Linked DNA regions of Lepisosteus oculatus. The protein of the gene in region 1 purifies or fractionates together with the protein of each later gene. This does not show direct contact. Links are inferred from orthologs where the notes say so. Each region holds a gene or a part of one and is shown in the gene's direction. Other genes may lie near its edges.

Evidence for each region.
Region 2: the proteins of transducin-like enhancer protein 1 (region 1) and foxg1a purify together in Homo sapiens (affinity purification with western blotting; 3 studies listed by BioGRID and IntAct, with this or other methods). This does not show direct contact. The link is inferred for Lepisosteus oculatus from reciprocal best matches to the Homo sapiens genes TLE1 and FOXG1.
Region 3: the proteins of transducin-like enhancer protein 1 (region 1) and her6 purify together in Homo sapiens (affinity purification with western blotting; 4 studies listed by BioGRID and IntAct, with this or other methods). This does not show direct contact. The link is inferred for Lepisosteus oculatus from reciprocal best matches to the Homo sapiens genes TLE1 and HES1.

Annotation. Positions count from the first base shown.
Region 1 is NC_090698.1:60,295,439-60,302,757, reverse strand, and holds the start of transducin-like enhancer protein 1, read left to right. Parts: upstream 1-4,299; 5' UTR 4,300-4,934; exon of another isoform or gene 4,935-5,031; 5' UTR 5,032-5,090; coding exon 5,091-5,114; intron 5,115-5,637; coding exon 5,638-5,738; intron 5,739-7,047; coding exon 7,048-7,111; intron 7,112-7,303; coding exon 7,304-7,319. UniProt on the Homo sapiens protein: Transcriptional corepressor that binds to a number of transcription factors. Inhibits NF-kappa-B-regulated gene expression. Inhibits the transcriptional activation mediated by FOXA2, and by CTNNB1 and TCF family members in Wnt signaling.
Region 2 is NC_090703.1:5,959,544-5,967,208, reverse strand, and holds the start of foxg1a (forkhead box protein G1), read left to right. Parts: upstream 1-4,656; 5' UTR 4,657-4,745; exon of another isoform or gene 4,746-4,767; intron 4,768-4,903; exon of another isoform or gene 4,904-5,446; intron 5,447-7,665. UniProt on the Homo sapiens protein: Transcription repression factor which plays an important role in the establishment of the regional subdivision of the developing brain and in the development of the telencephalon.
Region 3 is NC_090708.1:9,265,716-9,273,200, reverse strand, and holds her6 (hairy-related 6), read left to right. Parts: upstream 1-4,733; 5' UTR 4,734-5,103; coding exon 5,104-5,211; intron 5,212-5,331; coding exon 5,332-5,427; intron 5,428-5,626; coding exon 5,627-5,714; intron 5,715-6,090; coding exon 6,091-6,590; 3' UTR 6,591-6,894; downstream 6,895-7,485. UniProt on the Homo sapiens protein: Transcriptional repressor of genes that require a bHLH protein for their transcription. May act as a negative regulator of myogenesis by inhibiting the functions of MYOD1 and ASH1.

The DNA of each region.
Region 1 (7,319 bases):
AGTAACAGTTATGAATTCTAGCGAATTGGGTACCTTTATGAATCAATAAAGGCTGTGATAGTGATGCACATGAGAAATCAATAAATTTGCATGAACAGATTGTTTAATGATAACTGAAGACAGAAGAACATTGGAGGGTCCTGGCACGGTCTTCATCAAGCAGTGAATAAATAATAGCTGCAGTTGATAATGATGGAGATGATTATGATAACAGACACATACTGTACATTAAGAGAGTTACTTTACAAATGCAACACATATTTTCAGCACTTAGAGTGCCACACTATCCAATTAACCTGTCTATGTGTGAGAGTATGTCATTGTAATATGCTTATAGAAAATGGTAGCATTCATGTTCCCTTTTGTACACAGTGTGACAGCATGTGGTGAGCAATGTGTTTTTATTTTAGACATGCAATGTTGTTACATGAAGTCACTGGGGCATTCAGAGTCCATCAATCAATCATCACTAGACATCAGCAGTGCTACAAACTGAAAGAAAGCACCTGTGACCAGCCCAGGCTTGGTCAACCAGGTGTAATGACTCAAGTGAGACCACCTGAGAAACTGCTTCCAAAGAGGGCCAAATATGCTTTCTAACACAATTGGGTGTCAAAAGACTCATAAACCTGATTGCAGTCATCGGGCAGTTCAGAGCTGTAACATATTGTAGTGTCTCTACAACAGTACTGTCCAGACTCAAAATCTGCAACATTTGCAAGCAAGCTTCTGACAGATTTCAAACAATTCATGTGGAATGCATCACTTATTGCATTCAAATGCTTTATCCCCATTTAAATGGTCAGTGGTTGACATAAGGGTCATTATGTCTAACACATATACAGTATGCATAAATTTGGACATAGGCAGAGATATTGAGTACAGACTACACCCATCATCTTATTATTAATCTGGGAAGCAACTGCCAGATAAGCAGCATTAATTTGACCATGGTTAATGATGACATACGCATCTACCACTGCCTGTCCTGTCCCACAGGTGTTGGATTGTGGCTGCAGTGCAGTTGGTCAGTTCATGATATTGATCATGTTGCACATTTTATGATGAAAGAGTGCAGTATTATTTTGACACTGATATTGCTGTGGTAGAACGCAAGTGTCATGAAATTGTAAACATGAAGTTGTATAGTCAGGTTACAATGGACATCGAGAAGCTGACTACTAAACTCTGCATTAATATCTTCCCACACCATCTGTCCATGCTCAGGTGATGCTTTCTCTATCCAGCCCCACGCCCAAAATGGAAGTCAATGTCAATGTCTTCCTGTGCAGTTTCTGTTTGAAGTGTTGATGTCAGCATTATACTATTGAATTATTTATTCTGAAACAGTTTTGCTGCTGTGAAAAAAAAAATAAAGGGGAAAACAGAGATCACTTGCATTTGCGATATTTTGAGTAAGGATGCAAAAAATGTTGTTTTCAGTAATGAAAGGTGTAGAGTTAGAAGCAAATTGACAGTCTTAAGTGGATTGGCGAGTGATGTCTGAAAAGGGTTAATCCTAAATCTGTGTCCGATTTGCAGAGGAAAAATCACAAATGGTGTGGGGAGCCATTAATCCAGAATTTAGGAGTCAGCTTCTTGATGTCCATTGTAAACTGACTGCACAGCTTCTTATTCACAATTTCATGACACATGTGTTCTGCCACTGTAACAGCGATATCAGAGTCAAGATAATACTGCACTCTTTCAACATGATAGTGTACAAAATGATCAATATCGTGAGCTGACCAACTGCATTGGAGCAACAATACAACACCTGTGGGACAAGATTGGTAAATGCATATGTCATTATTAACCATGGCCAAATTAATGTTGCTTATTTGCCAGGTAATTCCCAGATTGAATATAAGAACATGGGTGTAGTCTGTATTCAATATACTGTATATGTCTATGTCCAACATTTTGCATATACAGTATGTGTTAGACATAATGGCACTGTCAATCATTGACCATTTAAATGGGGATACAGCATTTGAAGCCAATGAGTAATGCATTCTGTAAGAATTACGTGAACTCTGTCAGAAGCTTGTTTGCAAATGATGAAATGATATCACAACCAAATCCTTCTAGTCAATTAAAAATATAAAGAAATGCATTTAAAACAAATATTAGGAGACTCTTCTTTATACAAAGGGCTGTGGGAAAATGGAACAAGCTACCCAGCCATGTTGTTGAGGCTAATATCCCTCCTTTTTTAAAAAGACAGCTAGATGAGATTATCAGATAAATTAGTTACTAAATATCAAATAGGTAAGATCTTTGAATGGCCTCCTCTGACCCATCCTTATTCCTTATGCTCTTTTTGAATAGCAGCAGTCATTATTGTTTAGCTTCAAGATGAGTAGATGATCAGTCTAGCAATGATTAACGTTGCCATATGTAACTGAGACTTTTTGTAATTCTTCAGGACCAACAGGACAATAGTATTTCTTTATCATTTCCACTGATATAATTCTATTCCACAGGACGAAATTAGCAGGTTTTATTACTGATCACTTGATGAATCCAATATGTAAAGGAGTTTAAACAAATTACAACACCACATGGTTAAACGGCTCTTCATTATCTGTACTGAGTCATTGTTGTTCTTGCAGAGCTGTGCTGAATCTTTAAAACAAAGTTTAGGTTAAAATCCTCAGCCACAAAATATATAGGTGGCAATCAATAACTTCCAATGTTTCAGTCAACAAATTCATTACATTAACTAGAGGAATAAATAACAAGTTTCTGGTTAGCAGTGCAGTTGATGCAATGTTAAGAAGTTAATATGAGATATTCTTTAAATTACAAAACAGCTTGTGAGGGCATAAGTCTTACTGCAGTGTTGTCAAGGTGAGTTAGAAATCTGTCCATATACTTTGAATTCTAATGTGAAAGCAATAACCTGCTGTCTTCCATCAGTGTGATCTACAGTCACAAAGAGCATCTGGCATGATCTCTGACCCCACTACATCATGTCAGTTTTACAGGTCAGCTGTTCCTCTACTCCATCTACCTACTATGTTGTCATTTTCTACTTATTTTATTTTCGTTTCACTGCAAAGTATGACTTTGTTCAAGTACTGATCTATATGTAAGAAGCAGCACTTAAAAATGTATTTGAAGCTGAATAATGAGGAAACATAATTATTTTTGTACATTTCTTTTCATTAACTGCAGTTATGCTTATGGTGTGTTATTTGAAAAATTATACATTTTTACAGTTGATTTTGTAGCAAATTTAATTAAATATATAGATGGTCAGACATGCAGTTTTGTGAAAAATCTTCCTCTGAATACAAAACTCTTTTAGTTCTAAAGCAACTTTTAGGTCAGGATAACCTAAAAAATAATGCCTTACGGGTGACAAAAAATCTATTTTTGTATGCTTGTTTTATATGCATGTGCAGTAAAAAATAAAAACTTTTAAGGTTGTAGATTACCATGATCTGTTTTTTTTTTAAGATATAGTAAAATGTCTGGATGGTTGGACAGAACAGAGTTAAAAATCTGAAATAGAGATTACATAGAATACAAAAATTATAGGTCTGATATGTGTGATCAATTAATAGATTATTCACTGTTAAGCTATGGGCAAAGTCAACAAAAATACAGTAACTCCATTTCTAACACATGGGATTTTAGACTCAGAATTATCACATCCAATCAGCTTTTAAAGAACATATTTATTGAAGTGGGATGCCCATTTTCTGTAATGCTGTGTACCAGACGCTTAAAACAGTAAAAAAAATAATGAAAATTTGTAGGTGTGCAGATGATAGGTAGGCATCTTTAATAAAGCTTTATTTCTCAAGGTTGATTTTGTCTTTAGAAGTTACCTTTCCAGCTTCACACATATGCTAAGTTACCTTTCAAACCTGATGTTCTTAATTATTTTCTAGAACATTTTAGGTCTTTTTTTTTCCTTGAATGCAAAATCAACAAGGTGTAAACGAAATCGAAATCGCATTGTTTGTACAAGGAGAAAAAAAATCCGATTCTGTCTCTTTAAGGATTTCGCACTCGTCCCACGTTACTTTGACTGACATTTGAGGATTGTCACTCTCCCGCAGACCGACCACCTCATCCTTCATTCTTACATTTAGCACTCTCTCCTCTGCCATTGGTTGCCTTTACCGTATCTCAGCATAATCGACAAGCATGAACTCTCACGTATTGATTCTATTGGCGAGTTAGAGAGGAAACGTCATGACCCCACGTGTACATCTAACCTTGATTGGCTGCCGTGAGTTTTCAGAGGCAGGTCTAGATCTGGTTAGTTCAGGGAGTGTGAAACCGCGTGTTAATGTAAGCAGTGGGGAAGAGTGGGGTTGGGTGCTGTATTGTCATTCTTATTATTAAGATTTCCATTTTTATTGATACTTTTTATGTTTTAATATTCGGCTTTATTATTGAGCTATAGTTTAGGTGTTGTATTATCGAGTACTTTTTAGTTGTTTTTTTTAATATCAAGTGCATTTCCATGTTTTGCTAAAAAAAACATTTTCATTTTATCCTGGAACAGCACACGCGGGGGATACTTCATCAGCCATTTGGAGGGAGGTGTTATTTTTTTTTAAAATAATCATTATTTTTGAGACTTTTGCGACAAACGTTTCGGTTTGGTCTTTTTGTATGTGTCGCCTGTTCGCTTTGTTTTTGATCTTTCTGGATATCGCTTCGGGGAACCAGCGCTACGTTGTTTCATTGGGGGAAAGAAAAAACAGTTCCAGGGTGGACTTTATTTCGCTGTTTGTGAGCAAATGATTTTCTCATTTTTGGGGGGATTTTCGCTTTCTCTATTGGACTAACTCGAAAATCAACGAAGGTCCACTGTACAACACAAGTTAATTGCAGACCTGCGACGACTAGGAAGCGCTTGTTTTGTTCTGCGAAGGAGACGGTGGAGTGAAATAAAAGGACGGGGCACCGAGGTTTGGTTTGCTTTACGACCCCATTTCTTCGGGGATCCAGGATGAATTTATCCTAATTCAGAGTTTCCTGCTTGTGCTTCTCAATTTCTGCTGAAAGGGGTTAAAAGATAACCGAGAATTGAGGATTCCCGGAGGAGGCGCTTGGCTGAAGGAGCAATGTTTCCTCAAAGCAGACACCCTGTGAGTGTAACAGTACAAAGGAAATGGGGGAAAAAGGAAACTTCGCGGCTTTTGCTTTCCTGGCTGAATTCGTCGAGTTTTAATTTGTTCGTTTGTATGCAAAAAGTGAACGTTTTACAGTGCACTGAATGCTACGTTGTTATAATACGGGTTAATGCTATCCAGTCGCTCATGCGCTAACTCTTCAGTCGTTTTGATGCCAGAGTTTATTCGTTTCGTGGTTTTCCAGCTTTCCTTTTGTTTCTCATTTGATTAAGTCATAAATGCACAGCGCAGTCTTTTTTTTTTAAATGGGTTGCATATGATACGTTCTTGCCTTACTTAATTGGTAACAGCAATATCTTTGCAGCGTTTTATAGCTTTTTTCCTACACGACAGCCTAGGACTTGTCTGCCCCGCTTGTGATTTGTTTCAGTTTTTGTAGTGTCGTGTGCGTATAAAACTTCCTTTCAAAATTGTGAACTAAAATCGGCAACATAAAACCCGTGATTCTGCTGTCCTTATTTCATTTCTACTTTGACAGACGCCGCACCAGGCTCCTGGGCAGCCCTTTAAATTCACAATTCCCGAGTCTTTGGATCGGATAAAAGAAGAGTTTCAGTTTCTACAAGCCCAATATCACAGGTTAGTGCAATTTCCTATTTACATAACAGTAGCCAGCGCGAATATATCTCAATTCCGGACGAGTTATTTACATTTGACTGTTTTGTGTCCATTCTGCGGTAGGTAAAGTGTGGTAAGGTTGAAGAACCAGAGGGTGGCGTTTGTAGTCAGGTTAAATAACCACTTTCCTTCCGTCTGTGGACAGGACTTGTCTAAATGTCCTTGTGGTTTAGGGTGTGCATACACTCTACAGACATTTACATTGCATTTCAAAAGTTCTAAGGCCGATGTTTTTCATCCTTTATTAACTCTGATCCCGGCTTGTTTTCTTGGTGTCCATGAACAGTTAACTATCGTGTGTTTTGAAATGGTATTGTGAGGAATTTGGCTTAGGAGTGTAATGGCAGCTCCATATACTTTATGGAGCTTATGTGTGCAGTCTGGTACGTCAGCCTAACCACTTAAAAATGGAGTTTATCGAAACAATATGTAAGCAGTTAAGCATTTTATTTACTCAAAATTGCAGCAACACTTCAAATATAATCGCCCTTGTTTTTTTATATATGTCAAGTGATTTAGTTCTGCATTAGTGAACCAAAATGTTTTCCCTTTCAGTAATATTGAAATGGTAATCACTGTAACAGCCAGAATGGAGCATTACTTTGTTTGCCATCTTATTTTTTTTAAACACTTACCTGTATGAGTGGTCATGGAGTCATATTGAATATAGATGACATTACCTTTGGCTTAAAAGAACTCAGAGAAAACAATTTTCATTTACCCTGAACTCAATTTGTAAGACTGGATGTCTTAGGTGAAGGTGGAATGCTGCCACAGTATTTCTGAGACAATCTTATTATACACTACTTTAACATTTTGTTCTAGAAAGAAAATGAACTGAACAGAGATCCTGATGTAAATGTGTCAGTGATTGAATTTGAGGTCCACATGTATATAATTTACTTTAAAATGGTTTACCTATAGTGCATTAAAAACACCTTGTCATTATGGGAGCCACAGTCACCAACAGTGCATGTTTGATGTGAAATTACTGGAAAGTTAACAAGGATGACTTGGGATCTGAATTGCTCTTTATAGTAAATGCAATATGCCACTTTTTTTTTAAATTGAAGCTAATTGCATAATTGCTTGATAATTTGCAGTTCAGTACAGAACTTTCTTAGGCCCATGTTGATACTAAATATGCAAAATTCAGCACTTTTTCATTAAGGCAGGCTTGTTACAGTAATGTCAGTTCTTAATGCGATTTTTGTTAACTGTTTCCTATTATACATTTTAATTGAACATGTAATTTGACCTTTGTTTTTAGTCTCAAACTGGAATGTGAAAAACTTGCAAGTGAAAAGACAGAAATGCAGAGGCACTATGTAATGGTGAGTTACTATTACGCAGGCTTTTTGTGCAGATTGCCAATTTCTCCTTTTAAAATCAACACGTTTGAAAGTAATCTGTGATGTTACATGGTTGTTGACTTTTGTGCATGTGGAAATCTACGACATAAACAGATGTTTGAAAAAATGTGTGAGGTGTGCTCTGAAACTGACAAGATTAACATGTGTTCACAGTACTATGAAATGTCTT
Region 2 (7,665 bases), on another chromosome or scaffold:
AAACTAAATGAATATTTAGCGATTTGTGGTTAGGAGAAATTATCGATGTCGCTGACTGATAGTTTCGAAACCCTGTGTGGCGGAGTTTGCCCCCGAAATATTTGCGCAGAAGGTCAGACAAAAATGTTTTGTTCATTTTTTTCAAGACGAGTTATGGCCACTTATTAGGGTTTGTTTATTTTGTACTCGGTAATAAAAGTCCTTTCGAAACAAAACAAAAGATTTTGCCTAATCTGAGATCAGGATCGCATGGTGCAGCAAGGAAAACAAGGGGAAATAGAAAAAAAACAAAAGAAACAAAACAAACGCCTGAAATATGTGTTAATACCTACGAGACTTTATTCCTGTGGTTGCTTTGTGCTTTGGGGTGTTAGTGCCGGTCGTTTTAAATTAAATATGCGTTGTTATTGTTAAATATTTAATTATGGTGCTGACTTTTCCTTTTTTAAAGTTAAGGTCTTATTTCGATACATTTTCGGTCGCATGACCCGAGTCAAAGAACAATATAATATACTGTGGTGCGTTAGGAGCGGCACTAGAAACCAGACCGATGGAGTTCTCTACACTAGGCAGTCCTAATGGGTCTGTTTTCAATCGTGTATTGAAAAGGCCCCTGAAGGTACTAAAAGCCCGTTTTGATCTTCTCGCTTCGGAACCTGAACTGAATTCCGTCAGTTTATTTATTTAGTTACAATTAATTATAATTGAGTAAGTGTGTACATCTGGGAGATTGTTTCATAAAAGGCGGGACACACAACACAGCTGAAATATTTAATACTGCTTGACTGGGATATTCTGGCGTGTGAATGTACAAAACCAATCTACTGATAAAAAGGGACGTAACGTATGGACAAGTCAGTATACAGTATGCTCAGTTGAACCGAAAAGCAAATTAACGGTTTTGTCTTCTAAAGATGAAACGCTTGTACTGCAGCTCGTGATAACGAAAAAGCTTGTACGGTAGGTGGATCTAATCTCGAGTTGTCAACATTGAAATCGGGAAAATTAATCAAGTTTCTGTTCCTCTGAAGCAACACGATCTCGGACAAACAGTTGTTACAAATTTTAACAAAAACAGGGAATGGTTTGTTCTAAATATAAGAGGTATTATGTCCATATTTATTCCCATAGTAGCATAGTATTTATTCCACATTTTTTCCCATACTAGCAGCGCCTCCGGCTTGTCTGATGGTTTTTCGCTTCACAGTCGGCTCTTGTGATGATTTGAGTCCCCACAAGATATTGAAGTAGGTTCTGTTATTTAAACTGTGTAACACTTGATTGTTTCGTTTAATGACACCTTTTTACACAAATTATCAATATGTTACGTCCCCATACCTTTGAAACACATATTTAAATATGCTCAGAGTCTGCTGGATATGACTTGTTTAATTATTAAATAATTTATTTTGCTTTGCGGCAAATTGTCTGACATATCACTGAAATGCACCGTTTGATGTATATATTTGTTTTTTTCCTTATAAGGACTCGTATTTTAATTCTCTTGTACACAGTACAGTTCTGTAACGCCGACTTGCTGGACTTTAGCTGAAATTGTGTTTTTCAAACATTTTAGCCTTAAGAGCAATTCTCCGTAAAGAATGTCAAATGAATTTTAAGCCTTAGAAGTACAATACGCGGGCGTGAGCTCTAAGCTCTATATTGAATCTAAGAATTTGGACTGAATCCGTTAGATCGTATTTTCGGAAGCGTTGAAATATGATTTCTCGCAAACTAAAGTTTTAGGTAGGCATTTACAGCAAGGGTAAAGGTTTAAGAAATGCACTACTTTTGCATAATATATTAAAATTACAACAATCTAAAATCATGCAATATGAAGTTTACTTCGTAAATAATACTTATGTAATAGGAAATCTTTGTAAATAATACTTAGAAGTTTAGGTTTGTTTTGTTTATGTAACATATTAGATTTGTGATCATACACCAATTGAAATATTTATTTTCTCTTGTAGTTTCTAAACGGAACCCTCAGTTTAATCGTTTTGAAGTTTTCAGTTCGGATTTTGTCAACCAAAAAATGACTGGTGTTTTGAGATTTTTAGAGGCTGAAAAATAACGATAACAAGTAAGTCAAGGTTGACTTGTTATTTCAAGAGTTCAGTTAGGCCAAGATTATAAAGCCTTTATCTCGCCCGATTAAGAATTTAAAGCAGAATTGTGGCTGGTTAAATTAGTGGCCACGCGGTGGCGCCAAATTACCGCTAGATTCCACAAGACCTTTATACTCCTCGTGGTAGATTTGGATGTCAGATAATTTGTACTTTAAGGTCAGTTTAAGACTACCCAGTATTTCATTTTTTCAACATTCCCTGTTGTCTGTTGTGTATCAGGTTTCAGTATTTCTATTCTGTTTTACAACTGTTAAAGAAAGGTTTCTTTTTCTTTTTACAATAACAGAGCTGGCCGTATTTTTACCAGGTAGAATAGGCGTCTTTGTATGTATTTTTTCAGTCTTGAACATCAACCCCTAGAATTTCCCCTTTGTTCGTTTAATTGACCCCAACTCCAAGCTGTTCAAAACTCCCCATTCCATCTCCAATTAATTATCATCAGTAATTAGACGACACAGAAATACATTTGTGCATCACATTTCTGCCTTCTGGTTAATTCCTGTTTCATTGTTGTTACGAATAAAGGGCCGACTAGTTACAGATGAGCCTCTGTTATAACAATAGTAAAAAGTTTGTTTTTAATAAATAAATATGGTCTTATTGTTAAATACGTGTGCTGAAAATAGTGTATTTGCATTTCTCGGTTAATTTATTTTTTTTAGAAAATGTTGTTCATTCAATGTGTAACAAAACTAGACCTAAGTATTTCTTTCTCCGTTATTTTCGAAATGCCTAATGCCACATATTAGTTCAGGTTTTTCTTACGTGTCTGAAAATCCACGTGGTATTTCCTCTACTTTTCTCCATAAAGAAGAATTATTAGATTTGTATTACAGGCAAACAGCTTAAATATAGTTCTAATGTGCAGATTAATTTCCAATTCGACAGATATGTGTTATATTTCCAATTTGTATAAATAAACTATTGAGATCGAGGTAAGACGATCGATTTTTTTTAGAAATACATTAATAGTTCGTTATTTCAAATCCTGAACTTTTCCCCACTGAAAATCGGAACAATTGTACCCCTCTGTCAAATGAAAAATAACTTCATACGACTCTTCGCCAGTGTTCTGTAAAAGTAAACGCACTGTGGCGAGTTTCATGTGAAATGCAAGGTTGCTATAAGAATGTAATTCCCTATAATCCTATAAATGGTGTAAACGAACACCCTAAAACTCCGAAAACGTCCACGTTTTAAACGTCATTAATAATAATAATAATAATAATAATAATAATAATAATAATAATAATAATGAGATGTTATCAAGTAAGCTGTTTGGTCGGCATGAGTCCTTGTTAGCATTAATGAGTAGGAAGTCCTTCATGTGTGTTAAAGGAGGTTCAAACAGAGCAATAAACTTAATAGATTTGATTCTGTGGCTTCAACTATTTTATGCAAAGAAATGCCAAGGCTACACATAGAGATGCAAATACAAAACGACGCAGATCTCAATCACATACTGGATGTGGATATTTTTTTCATAAACAATTCCAACTCACACAGCTCATGTTTCAAGATTAGACTGATAATCTTTAGATAATTGTGTTTATTTTCTTAAATTGCGATAGTGTTTTGGCTGAAAAACCTGAACTTGTTCCTGGGATTTGTTCGTTTTTCAATTAGCGTGGAATGAATACTCCTCAAAGAAATTCACAAAATGATCTTCAGAAATATTTCTTAGTGTTCTCTAATAGCGAATAAAACATAGAAGAATTTGTTATTCATTAAATGTGCATCCTATTTAGAAAATTGTAGAAATATACTTAAAAGGTTGTGATCGATTTCACGCAAAAAAAATGACAATAGTTTTGATGTTTAGAGAATAGCGGAAGACTTTCATTGTGTTTTTTGTTGATATACTATCTAGGTGACAATAACAAGATGGGAATTTAAACCTGTTTTCCTTTGCCAGAATTAAAGACAAGATTGTTTCCAGTGTAGGGCAGGGTTGTAGTTTATTTCTGGAATTAAGACGCTTGTTGGAATGTTTGTATTGACGTGCCTAAGTTAACGTTTTAGGTTGAGACGCTCCACATTCATCGCACAAATCTGTGTTAGCGCGGAAATGAATTTAATGTGCTAAGGCAGTTGATATTACAGCGGGCATAGGGGTACAGGTTGGAGTGGGCGCAGAGTAAGGCTGTTTGGCTACTGTGACTTTGAAGTTCCGCTTACTTTAGACAACCAGTACATAGAAAACAGTCAAAAGGGTCGTTCAAGTTTAGCTAGGTTAACGGGGGAAGGCTTTTACAGCCAGAGAGTGTGGTTACCAGCCCCCGCCGAGACCTGTGCTTGAGAGGCCCCGAAACCTCCAGCGCCGGCCTTGGTGCGGCGGAGCGCCCGGGCTCGGTCGCGCGGCTTGCCAAGGTAACGGTGGGAGTCGGTTTCCGGGGAGCTCGCGCTCCCGCACCGCCCGGCTGCGCTGCGCTGCCTGCGCGCTCGAGGAAGCCCGGGCTCTCGCGGGTGGGGAGGGGAGGGCGCACGCGAGAGGTCTGCCGGTTGGCGACGAATTTTTTATCATCGCTTTCGGCCGCTTCTCTTGAAATTGGAGGGGGGTATTCGCCTTGTACCGGGGTTGTGAAATCGTTCAGAACAAGTGGCCGCAATAAGGTATTGGGGACGGGGACGAAAGGTTTGTGGTATTTCAACCAAACTGCTTTTTCTTAGAGGTGTGTCGTTCGTAGATTCTGACACCCCTCCGTTGACCCCGTTTGAACGTAGGATATTGGATGTTATATATGATGGGGTTGTTGTTGTTGTTTGTTGTTGTTTTGTTTTTTTTGTATGTGAAATGAATGTTTTTCTTCACGTACGGCAAAAGTTATGAGGCGTAATTTTCGGGAACTTCTCAGACTCTGGTGATACAGTTACACGCGTCACACGGTGAACTGTCTCTGATACGCGAACTTGAACAAAGCGTTAGCTTGTTCGCGGACGACAATACAATATTTTTTCTTAAAACGGCGACGTTTTGTACAGTTACTGTATGACTTCACTGCGGTTTCCTGCCGACCGGTTTCAACCCCAAAGCGGGCTGCGCTACACATTTAGCCCGGGGGCAAAACTGTATTCTTACGTTAACGATTGAATGTTGCAGCAACGAGGCTCCGGTTTAAATAACAGGGCGCTAGTTTGTTGTATTTGTCAAGTGCGGTGTTTTAGGGGTGTTTTTACTCGGGGAAAGCGCTTCGCCAGCCTTTCGGAGCGCCGCAAACCAGCGCTGCATCTACCACTAGAGGGCGCTGCCCCGACAGCGCTGAGGAGAACCTGCTTCCCAAAGGCCCTGAAACCAGGCGCTGCAAAGTCTCCAGGTAGCCCTGTTTCCATCTCCACATAACATCTCTGATTTCCATACACAAAGTATGTGTGCCCCTGCAGTGAATCATGGCTCTGTTTGAATAAATAGCGTATTTATAAACATTTTGTTGTCAGCGTTAAACGCTTCCGTCATCTTTATTCAAACAGTAACACGATTATAATCAATTATATATTCAACAACGTTCGGTATTTTAGAGTAATTGTGCTTGTCAGTCTTAAAAAGACATAATGGTTCGTCATTGTTCTGAGCTTTAGAACAATTTTCTGTAATTAGTTTGAATTATATATCTTAGCTGCGACAATTTGTATTTATGGTTTCGTAATGTTTTAAAATTGCAGTTATGTTTTTTCTTTTTTTCCGTCCTTAAAGTAATGTATACTATTGCAAATATAGAAAGTCCCTTCAGCAAATTGTAGCAAATAATCATTTTAATATATGACCATATTTAAATTTACTCTCTTGCCAAGCCTAGTTTATATCAAGACAAACCACACAACGCGTTTTTATAATTACTCACGCCTTACAACAAAGTGCTCAAAGACGGTTGATTGAACTGCGCGGTATTAGTAGTTATACTGTTTTTATGTAATGTTTTTGTTTTGTATCTTAAGGTTTAAAACAGGAGCAAGTCTAGACAAGCTGCTCAATTTAAATATTTACCATGGGACACACACCTCATACACAGTGTAACTCTATTAGTGCTTTAACGCCAATTATAATCTTCCAAGCAATTAATGTAATTATCTGATCAGTATTCTCAGGTTTACTGTAAAGGAATACGTGGCTGCTTGAAAACAAACCACGTGTGAAGTTGTCCAATAACTGAAAATAAACTTTTTAACATGTCGCCTATAATTTCTTTAAATTGTGAATTTATTTTAAAAGTGAATATATTTTACCAAACATTTTATTTAAAAAAATAGCCATTGTGGATAAGATTTACTGCATATTAGCCTTTTTGGACAATATTGGGACAATAATAACCCTTTTTATTTGGGTGTATATTATTCTCAATATTTTTAGACATAGATCACGATGCACATTATGAACATATGCATAATTCAATTAGTGGTAAATATTGAGTTGTTCTGTTGTATGTGCCTATGCGGATTTATCGTGAACATCAGTATTGTGTTGATGTGTAAAGAGAAGTATAGATTCCATATAATATAGGCTCATACAGGGAACGTGTAATACACCATTGATCTGAGAAAACAGTAAACAAGTTGTAGAGGAATTAACAAGGGACACGAAAGACGAAGAAGCAAATAAAGGCGAAAATAATTGCGAATATCAGTCTTTCCAAAATGAAGAAAAAAAGCCACAAGAGGACCCCGGGGACATATTAGTTTTTCAATACTGTGGTTACCAAGAACTTCTGTCGCCAGACGGTGTTTTAGGGCAAATTAATTCTGCATTTCGAATTACAAATATTGTATGTTTATTGTACTCCACGTGAACGACCGTTAAGTTCTGTTGCGATCTGCTCTATGTTTGTTTTAAAAGGACGAGTCATGGTCCATCTACCTAGAAATAACCATTCAAAACCTGGTTACTCTAACACAAGGCTGTGTAGAGTATACACGTTTAACAAGATATTGCAGAAACCGAGGAATAGTCGTGCCTAGCGTAGTGTTCTGTGGACAAGCCTCTTCTTCATCAGATGTTTGTATCTTTGCTGTTGATATATTTTTAAACATTCGTTTCCGGCAACAAACAATAATTTAGCGGCATACCGCAGGCTGTAGTTAGGAGAGACCGGCGGAAACAGTAACTCGAAATCACTTAGTTTACAGCACTGAAAGATTTCTTATCGGACTTGCAATGTCAATTTTCCAGGTTTGGTTAAATAATGAATTGTTGTTTTTCTCGAGTCCGGAGTGCATTATGTCTGATGCTAATCATAGTTAGATATTTTACAATTATTATGTTAAACGGTATCAGCCAATAATCACAAAACACTATCAGAATGCAGGGGCAGTTTGCGACCTACTGTTCAGCTATATGACAAATGACGAAATACCGCATGTGATTTGTTTCGATCAGTCATATTTCTTTTTGTTAAAACCTATCACTCAGTTCGTATCCGAGGTTTGAACACTGCAGGTTGTCTGCAGGGATGAGATTTTGTGGTTTTCCAGCTACTTAGTAGAAAAGCCCGGTATTCATTTTCTCTGGTACCTGTAATATAAAGCAGAAAGATTATCTTTG
Region 3 (7,485 bases), on another chromosome or scaffold:
GCAGCAGCTGCCAAACATGGGATTCCTGCAGACTGATGGAATGTGAGGGCTTGTGCCGATGGCTGCCCAGGAATTAAAGACGCTCCTGTCCCTCCGAGTTTAATTCCCTTCCCTTTCCTCCAGTGCCAAGAACAAGAAACAGTCAGTATAAATAGAGCAAGCAACTGTTTTCAATTCAGCCATTTTTTATTCTTTTCGTGTCGTATGGTTGAATAAGATCAAGTACAAAAATCCCAAGGAAGCTTAAGTTCTTTTTCTTATATTTGTTACCACTCATTCCTTCGTTTACTTCTATGTTGCACTTCTGAACTGGCCTAACATCTGTCCAAAACTCATTTTTGGTTTCAGGCTGCCCAGAACTGTTGTAAGCAGGGGACTGGATTTAAGATATGGATAACAGTGTGCTTGGATGCCTCCTTCCACCTCCTTTCTGTTTGTATGAATTTAGCTCTCTTTGTAGTTAATGGAGACCTTTTGCATCATGCACATTTTTCAAATCGTAGCTTACTTTTAAACCTTTTGATTATCCTCTGAAGGTTTTCGGAAAGTGTGACTTGTACTGAATGGTACTTCTAAAACGTTCTAAGCAACAACAACAAAAAAGCATCGGGTAGCGCTTATGGTATTGGTCTGAACCCAGGGCAGACGGGGTACCAAGCTGTGTGCAGAGAGGCAGCGGAAAGGCAGAAAGAGGGCTTCGGTGACTCAATCTCCACTCCACTCTGGGAAAGTGAGCGTGAGAAAGTTAGTCAAGTGGAGAAGAAAACAAGCTTTGAATACCCGAGGCAAAATATATGTTCATTTTTATATATTTATTTTCAGTGAAATAGTGTTTCAGCCCAGAAAAAAAGCATCCAAGCTACATCCACTACCCAGGACAGTAGATATCTAGTTTTTTCTCCATTCTGCCCGTTTATCGTTTTTCACACAGAGCTATCTTCCAATATGCACCAGAGAACAACGATACATGTTGATGGGCATAGACACACAGCCTTAAATTATAAACCTCCCGGGATTTGTGCTGCAGTGCTGAATTTGTTCAATATGCTTCTAAGTTCAATATGCTTCTCAGCAATATCTGAGAAGTTACAATGACTTAAAAGAATAATTGCTTGAAATCAAAACATTTTCTACTGTAATAACAGTGATGACGTATACCGTTTTGCGATTTTATAAAGAAATGTTTATTGAAATCAACATCAGTGTTAATGGGGTTTAATAGTTATTTAGCCTAAATCCTCGACGATTAAAAAAAACGATTTACTATTACATGTACTGCTAATACCACTTCCACTATAGCCATAACCAGTAGGTGGATTACTCGGTAAACATGACAGGGCTGAGACTGTGCGTCATGTGCTTTTCCTCGAATTGTCAGAACCTCTGCAGCGTGTTGTCCATTATGTGGTCAGTATTAAACCCGTGATGCAGGGTACAACGTTTATTACACGAAAACAGTTGGGGGGAAAAATGATCTTGGTAAAAGGATTAAATGAGGAAAATAAACTTGCTCCGCATAACTTTTAAGCCCTTTAGCCTCTCCCCCTCGTGCAAATTATCCTGGGATCTGTATTCTAGATACGGACCATGAAACAACTCCAGCGGCCGAAGGGATCGTTCATATATCTTGGGATTTTTAAAAGTCTGGCGATTCAACTCTAAACTTCGGTGACTCCCGGCCAATGAATGTGGCTAGTTCATTATGTTTATACAGTACGCTGCACGAAACTGGAAACTAATGTAATGTTGTTTATGCTTCACCTCCTATCCTTTTCAACACACGAATGACCCCTGAAAAACTTTAATTAAGCCGCTCTGTGTTGCTAACCATAACGTATAAACTCGTTCGGTTATATTAAAATGCTTTCGCTTTCATAAATTGTTACGGCAAAGTACGCCGGGGGGGGGAGTGACGACACGATAGAAGCGACACAGAAAGAAAAGTAAAAGCACGACCCAAAACTTTGGGTCGCTCGTCTTTTTGTTGTTGTTGTTGTTGTTGTTTTTTGGAGGGAAAAGTCTGTGGAGAATGATCCGAAGCCACTCAAAGGGCTGGAGGAGATCGCTGAAGGGGGGGGGACAGCGCGCGCGCTCCAGGCTCCAATCAAATCCGCCATCTCCGCGCAGCAGCCAGTACAGCCTCCCGCAGCTGCGGGCTGCAAGCCGGCAGAGCAGGCGCCTTCCCCCGGTCGCTCGCCCGCCACGCGTCGCGGGGTCCACAGCAGCTGGAGAGCGCGCAGCAACTGTGTGTGTCGGAGCGCTGTTAAGGTAGCACGGGGCGGAGGGGCAAACACCACCCCACCCCCCCCACACACACACCATACGTACACAAGCAGGTAAACGGTGCCGCTCAGTCCACAAAGCACACAGAACACACCTTCCACAGAGGAAATGACAGTTGATATCACAGTTTGCAGGGAGGTAATAACTAAATGAGCCGCATTTGCCCCGAAAGCACACACAGCGTGCGATATCTGCAGACTGTACAACACATCAACTTCATTAATTGCAGCCCAGAGAAAAGAATCCACTACTTGGATTTCTTCACGTCATCAGAATAGAATTTAAGGGTATCAGGACTCTATTGAAATGCACATATATAATTAAAAATAAGAGCAGCCTATAGCTTTGTTTATTAAAGGATAAGCATATATATTACATATATTACTCTATATACTACATGTAAACTTTATTCTTAGTTTATCCCCAAAATGCATGCGGTACTTTGAAGAAAGACATGCTCTCCCTTGCAGGTTTAAATATATGACTTTATGCAGCCTTTAGATTAAGTAAAATCAAACCCATAATAAAATAATTAAGGTCTCTTACCATTTGGAAATCGACCACAATCGAAAGCAAAATAATTTACCCTTTTCCTAAAAAAACAGACGTTTCAGTTCCTTATTTTTTTTTACTTATTTTGGTAACATTTCAGTGAGGTCGCACTTCTGGGCTTTCTGGAATTAAAAACGGGGAATTGTTAAAAATCACTTCCAGAAATGTCCGTGAACAACATTAAAATATGAAAGGCTGCGAAGTTTAATTTACAGTTCTAAGCCCTAACCATGCCCTTTATTGGTGCCACTGTCGGCGTTGTATTAACCACGTATAAAAGCTTTATTTGATGCACCACAGATGTCAAAATTAGACCGCTACAGAAGACCAAAATGACTACCGAGCGCCCCCGCTCCCCCGCAGGAGGTACTGCGGGCCTCACCCCTCGGCGCTCCGGCGCGCGGAGAAATAACTCCGGACTGGCTCGCATTCCAATGAGCCCGATCCAGATCGCAGTGGGCGTGGTTTTCCCAGGCTTTAACACAGCAGCTGCTATTTACCTTCCCTCTAATATAAACCTCCACCGCCACCCCCAGCCCGGCAGCCAAACCTCAACCACAGCGCGCAGTAAAACATCCTGGCACGTGCTCCACATTCACAATAGCGCTCGCATGCCGACAGATGTCAAACTGCCAGGCTTGCGCTGCGCTGCGCTTTAAAGACACAGCGCCGGCGCGGATCAACACTACTGGAGAGAGAGAGAGATGCATACCGTAGGCACCGGGGCCGTCGAAATCAAGCAGTTGTTTGATTTTCGTTTTTTCTTCCGTTTTAAAAGTTGAATTTGTTTGGTCCCGAAATTCATTCAAATGAATCTCCCCCCGACCCCTTTATCCCGCTTCCCGAATTTTTATTTAGTCTCTTTTTTATACATATTTTAGGCAAAGATCGTGAGAAAAATAAAAATAAGAAGTTTTTTTTTCTCTTGAAAAGAAGAACCATTGCACTTCAAAAAAAAAACTTTATAACTTTTTAAAATGTTACCAACTGCCCTAAAGCAGAAAGATAAAAAGCAGCATTTTTATAGCAAATATTGTTTTTATGTTACAAACCACACATTTATCTAAATGTTAATATTTTCATTTGGGAAGTATCACCATTCGCCTTACAAGCGAAGTCGAATGCAAAAGTCGTTTTTTAAATATTCAATTGGCATAAAACTGCTACTTTTAGCAGTCCAAAACCTAATATCGTCTGCAAGCACCGTATCTAAAATTGAAGCAATTCGGAACAATTCTTTATTCAAAAAATATAAGCGCCGATGCAAATACATTACAGGACAACTATGCGATAATTAAAACAAAGAGCACTAGAGTTTATTACTCATTCTGCAACGATTACTACTATTATTAAATGCGCGGCGTGTTCATTTTATTGAACTGCGATCTGTGCATAAATACAATTTAAGTACAGAAGGCTTATACTCTTTAAAACAAAGTAGTGCTCTAAGAACCATCTATAAACGAAAACCAACAATGCCAACGCATAAGACAGGCCTCTTTAATTAAAGCGGATATTCCGTTCCCTTTAGGGCATTTTATTGCCGTTTTGCGATAATTAGCGTCAGGTTTTTTTTTTTCAGGGGACATTACGCCATGCCAAGTTTAAGCCATAAAAAAATCACCCTTCGACAGTGTGCAGCATGCGACCGCCTCGCAGGGCCCTAGAGCCGAAAGCGTTAATTTGTGAACCGGGGTGATTGACTGCGCAGGGCCCGTGTTGGCCTGAGCCCAGCCGCGCGCCATTGGCCGCCCGTCCCCGCGCCGCGCAGCCAATGGCGGGGCGCTGTCCACGAGCCGTCCTCCCCTCGGGCCGCGTGTCCCTCACGCTGATTGGTAGAAAGTTACTGTGGGAAAGAAAGTTTGGGAAGTTTCACACGAGCCGTTCGCGTGCAGTCTCAGATATAAATAAGACCTGCACGACGTTGGGCTGGACGCTCACAACGTTGACAGTCTGACAGTAAGCTCAGAGCCAGCTATAGCGCCTCACTGCCGCTCTGATAAACGGTACCGCGCATTGATAAAGGTGTATGACAAGCATTTTTTTTGTGTACTTTCCAACCCAAGACGAGGATTCTGTCTGGAAAAAAAAACAAACAAAACTGGGGGATTTTGTATTTAAAAGAAGACGTATAAAACTTAACTCGAAGAAGCAACGTTTTTTTTAATAACAAAAAAAAAAGCCCAGCACATCTGGCAACTACAGGAGGGGGAATTCACCAGGTTCTGACAGCGGCCCAAAGGTTTGTGGGATATTTGCCAAGCGAAGATGCCAGCCGACATGATGGAGAAAACATCCTCATCGCCAGTGGCGGCCACCCCGGCGAGCATGAACACGACGCCAGATAAACCCAAGACTGCTTCCGAGCACAGGAAGGTAACTATCACGCATACCGCCCCGATACCCGAGTATCTAGCGAGCACAGCAATCTTGTCACTTCTGACGGTGCGGGTCCTCCGGGTTCAACGTGTCGTTTTTCTCCCTTTTTTTTTTTAGTCCTCGAAACCGATTATGGAGAAAAGGAGGAGAGCGAGGATCAACGAAAGCCTGGGCCAGCTGAAAACTCTCATCTTGGACGCACTCAAGAAAGATGTAAGGATTCCGTCCTCCTCACCCTTTCGTAACCGCTACAAGCCAGCAGCCCTCTCCTGCATGGACATACTGTAGTGCTGTCGGCGCAGTCAACCCGTGTGCCGGGTTCCGTCCGAGAACAGGCGGCGGAGATGTGTTATTAAGCTGTTCGGCCGGAGGTCAGCAGCAATGAATGATTCTGATCTTTTTTGATTTGCAGAGCTCCAGACACTCGAAACTGGAAAAGGCTGACATTCTTGAAATGACGGTGAAACACCTTCGAAACCTGCAGCGAGCGCAGATGACGGGTGAGTTGCCTTATGTCGGCGTTTAATCCTTGGAATTATTTCATAGCTGATGTCTTCCAGACTTCCGTCTGCGGTTTAGCTGGTATTCGGCAGCAGTTTTACCGACTTGGCTCATAGCTCTGTTCCCACGGTCTGGAATTATTTATAGACACATCTTGTGGTAGTTCCGGGAGGCAGAGAGAGAGGGTGGATAAGAATTAAAATGTGTTTTTTTGTGGGGGGGGGTTCAAACTCCGCCAACATCTCCGATGCTCCGGCTGAGGCGGTGTTCTGACACTTGTGACACTTCACCGGCTACTCGTTTCGCGGTTTGGCGACGCGCCTCTTGACTTGGTGGACGAGCCCGACTAATGCTGGCTGTGCCTTCTTCCTGTAGCTGCTTTGAACACTGACCCCACCGTCCTCGGAAAGTACCGCGCAGGGTTCAGCGAGTGCATGAACGAGGTGACGCGGTTCCTGTCCACCTGCGAAGGGGTTAACACCGAGGTCAGGACACGGCTCCTGGGCCACCTCGCCAGCTGCATGTCGCAGATCAACGCCATGAACTACCCCACGCAGCCGCAGATCCCCGCCGGCCCACCGCACCCGGCGTTCGGCCAGCCCCTGGTCCCGCTCCCCGGCGCCTCGCCCCTGAACGGCCCGCCTTGCAAGGGTGGCCATGCGGGCAGCTTACCGGCGGAGGCGACGAAGGTGTACGGCGGCTTCCAGCTTGTACCGGCTACGGATGGACAGTTCGCCTTTTTGATCCCTAACGCAGCCTTTGCCCCTAACGGACCAGTTATCCCCGTGTATGCCAATAACGTCGGCACGCCGGTACCGGCTGTGTCCCCGGGCGCGCCTTCGGTCACGGCTGACTCGGTGTGGAGACCATGGTAGAAAGCGCTGTGCGAAAAAAAGAAAAGACTTTTTTTGTTCTTTACACGTAATAGCAAAAGAACTGGTTTCTTCTTGTTTAGATGCCTATTTTTTGTATGAAAGTGTATTCAAGTGAAGAGTATGCACTATATTTGTATATATTATATATGAGGGAAAGTTCATATTGAAATGTTTTGTAAAGTCAGTTTATTGAACTGCATTTTATATTCGAGGTGTCTTTTTATTATGTGATGCCAAAGATATGTTGAATGCTCTTAAGAACGTGTCTTCCTTTTGGAAGATCTAAATAAATTTTTAAAACCGATCTAAAACGCAGTTGTTGTGTCTCTTTGCACACTTTGCTGCCCTGAGCTTGAGAATCCTTATTTAATGATAAATACCTCCCCACTTCCTAACGCTGCTCCGCTAACTAGTTGGAATGGCCGAAGCCTTTTTTACTTGTAGGTCACCGCATAATGTCGATGAAGCCTTTAAAGGTCTGTGAGGCATGCTTGAGGGTACAGGGAGTTCAAATCATTCTGCTTCTGGAGATCCTCGGTTAGAAGTTGGGGAAAACCCAAACTGCGCAGCAACAGGTCGTTTGGAATTAGTATCGCCCTGAAAGTGGTAGGGTGATTTATTGCTGCTTCTCAAATTTTACTGCACAGTCGCCTTCCCCGCAGAAACTCGCTAAACCCGAAGGCGAGTGAAGTGAGCTCCGGTCAGTGCCTGTAACTACACGGCGACGTGACCCCTGAACACACGAGTCGAGCCACAACTGCACATTTTTTAGGGACTAATAACGTCTCCTGAACGTTTCCATTAGTGTGAAAAATATCAGACCTACCAACATATTTAGATATGTGCAATAGCAAAAGTCCAAAAAGCTTATCATTATCTCATCATGAGCCTTTTG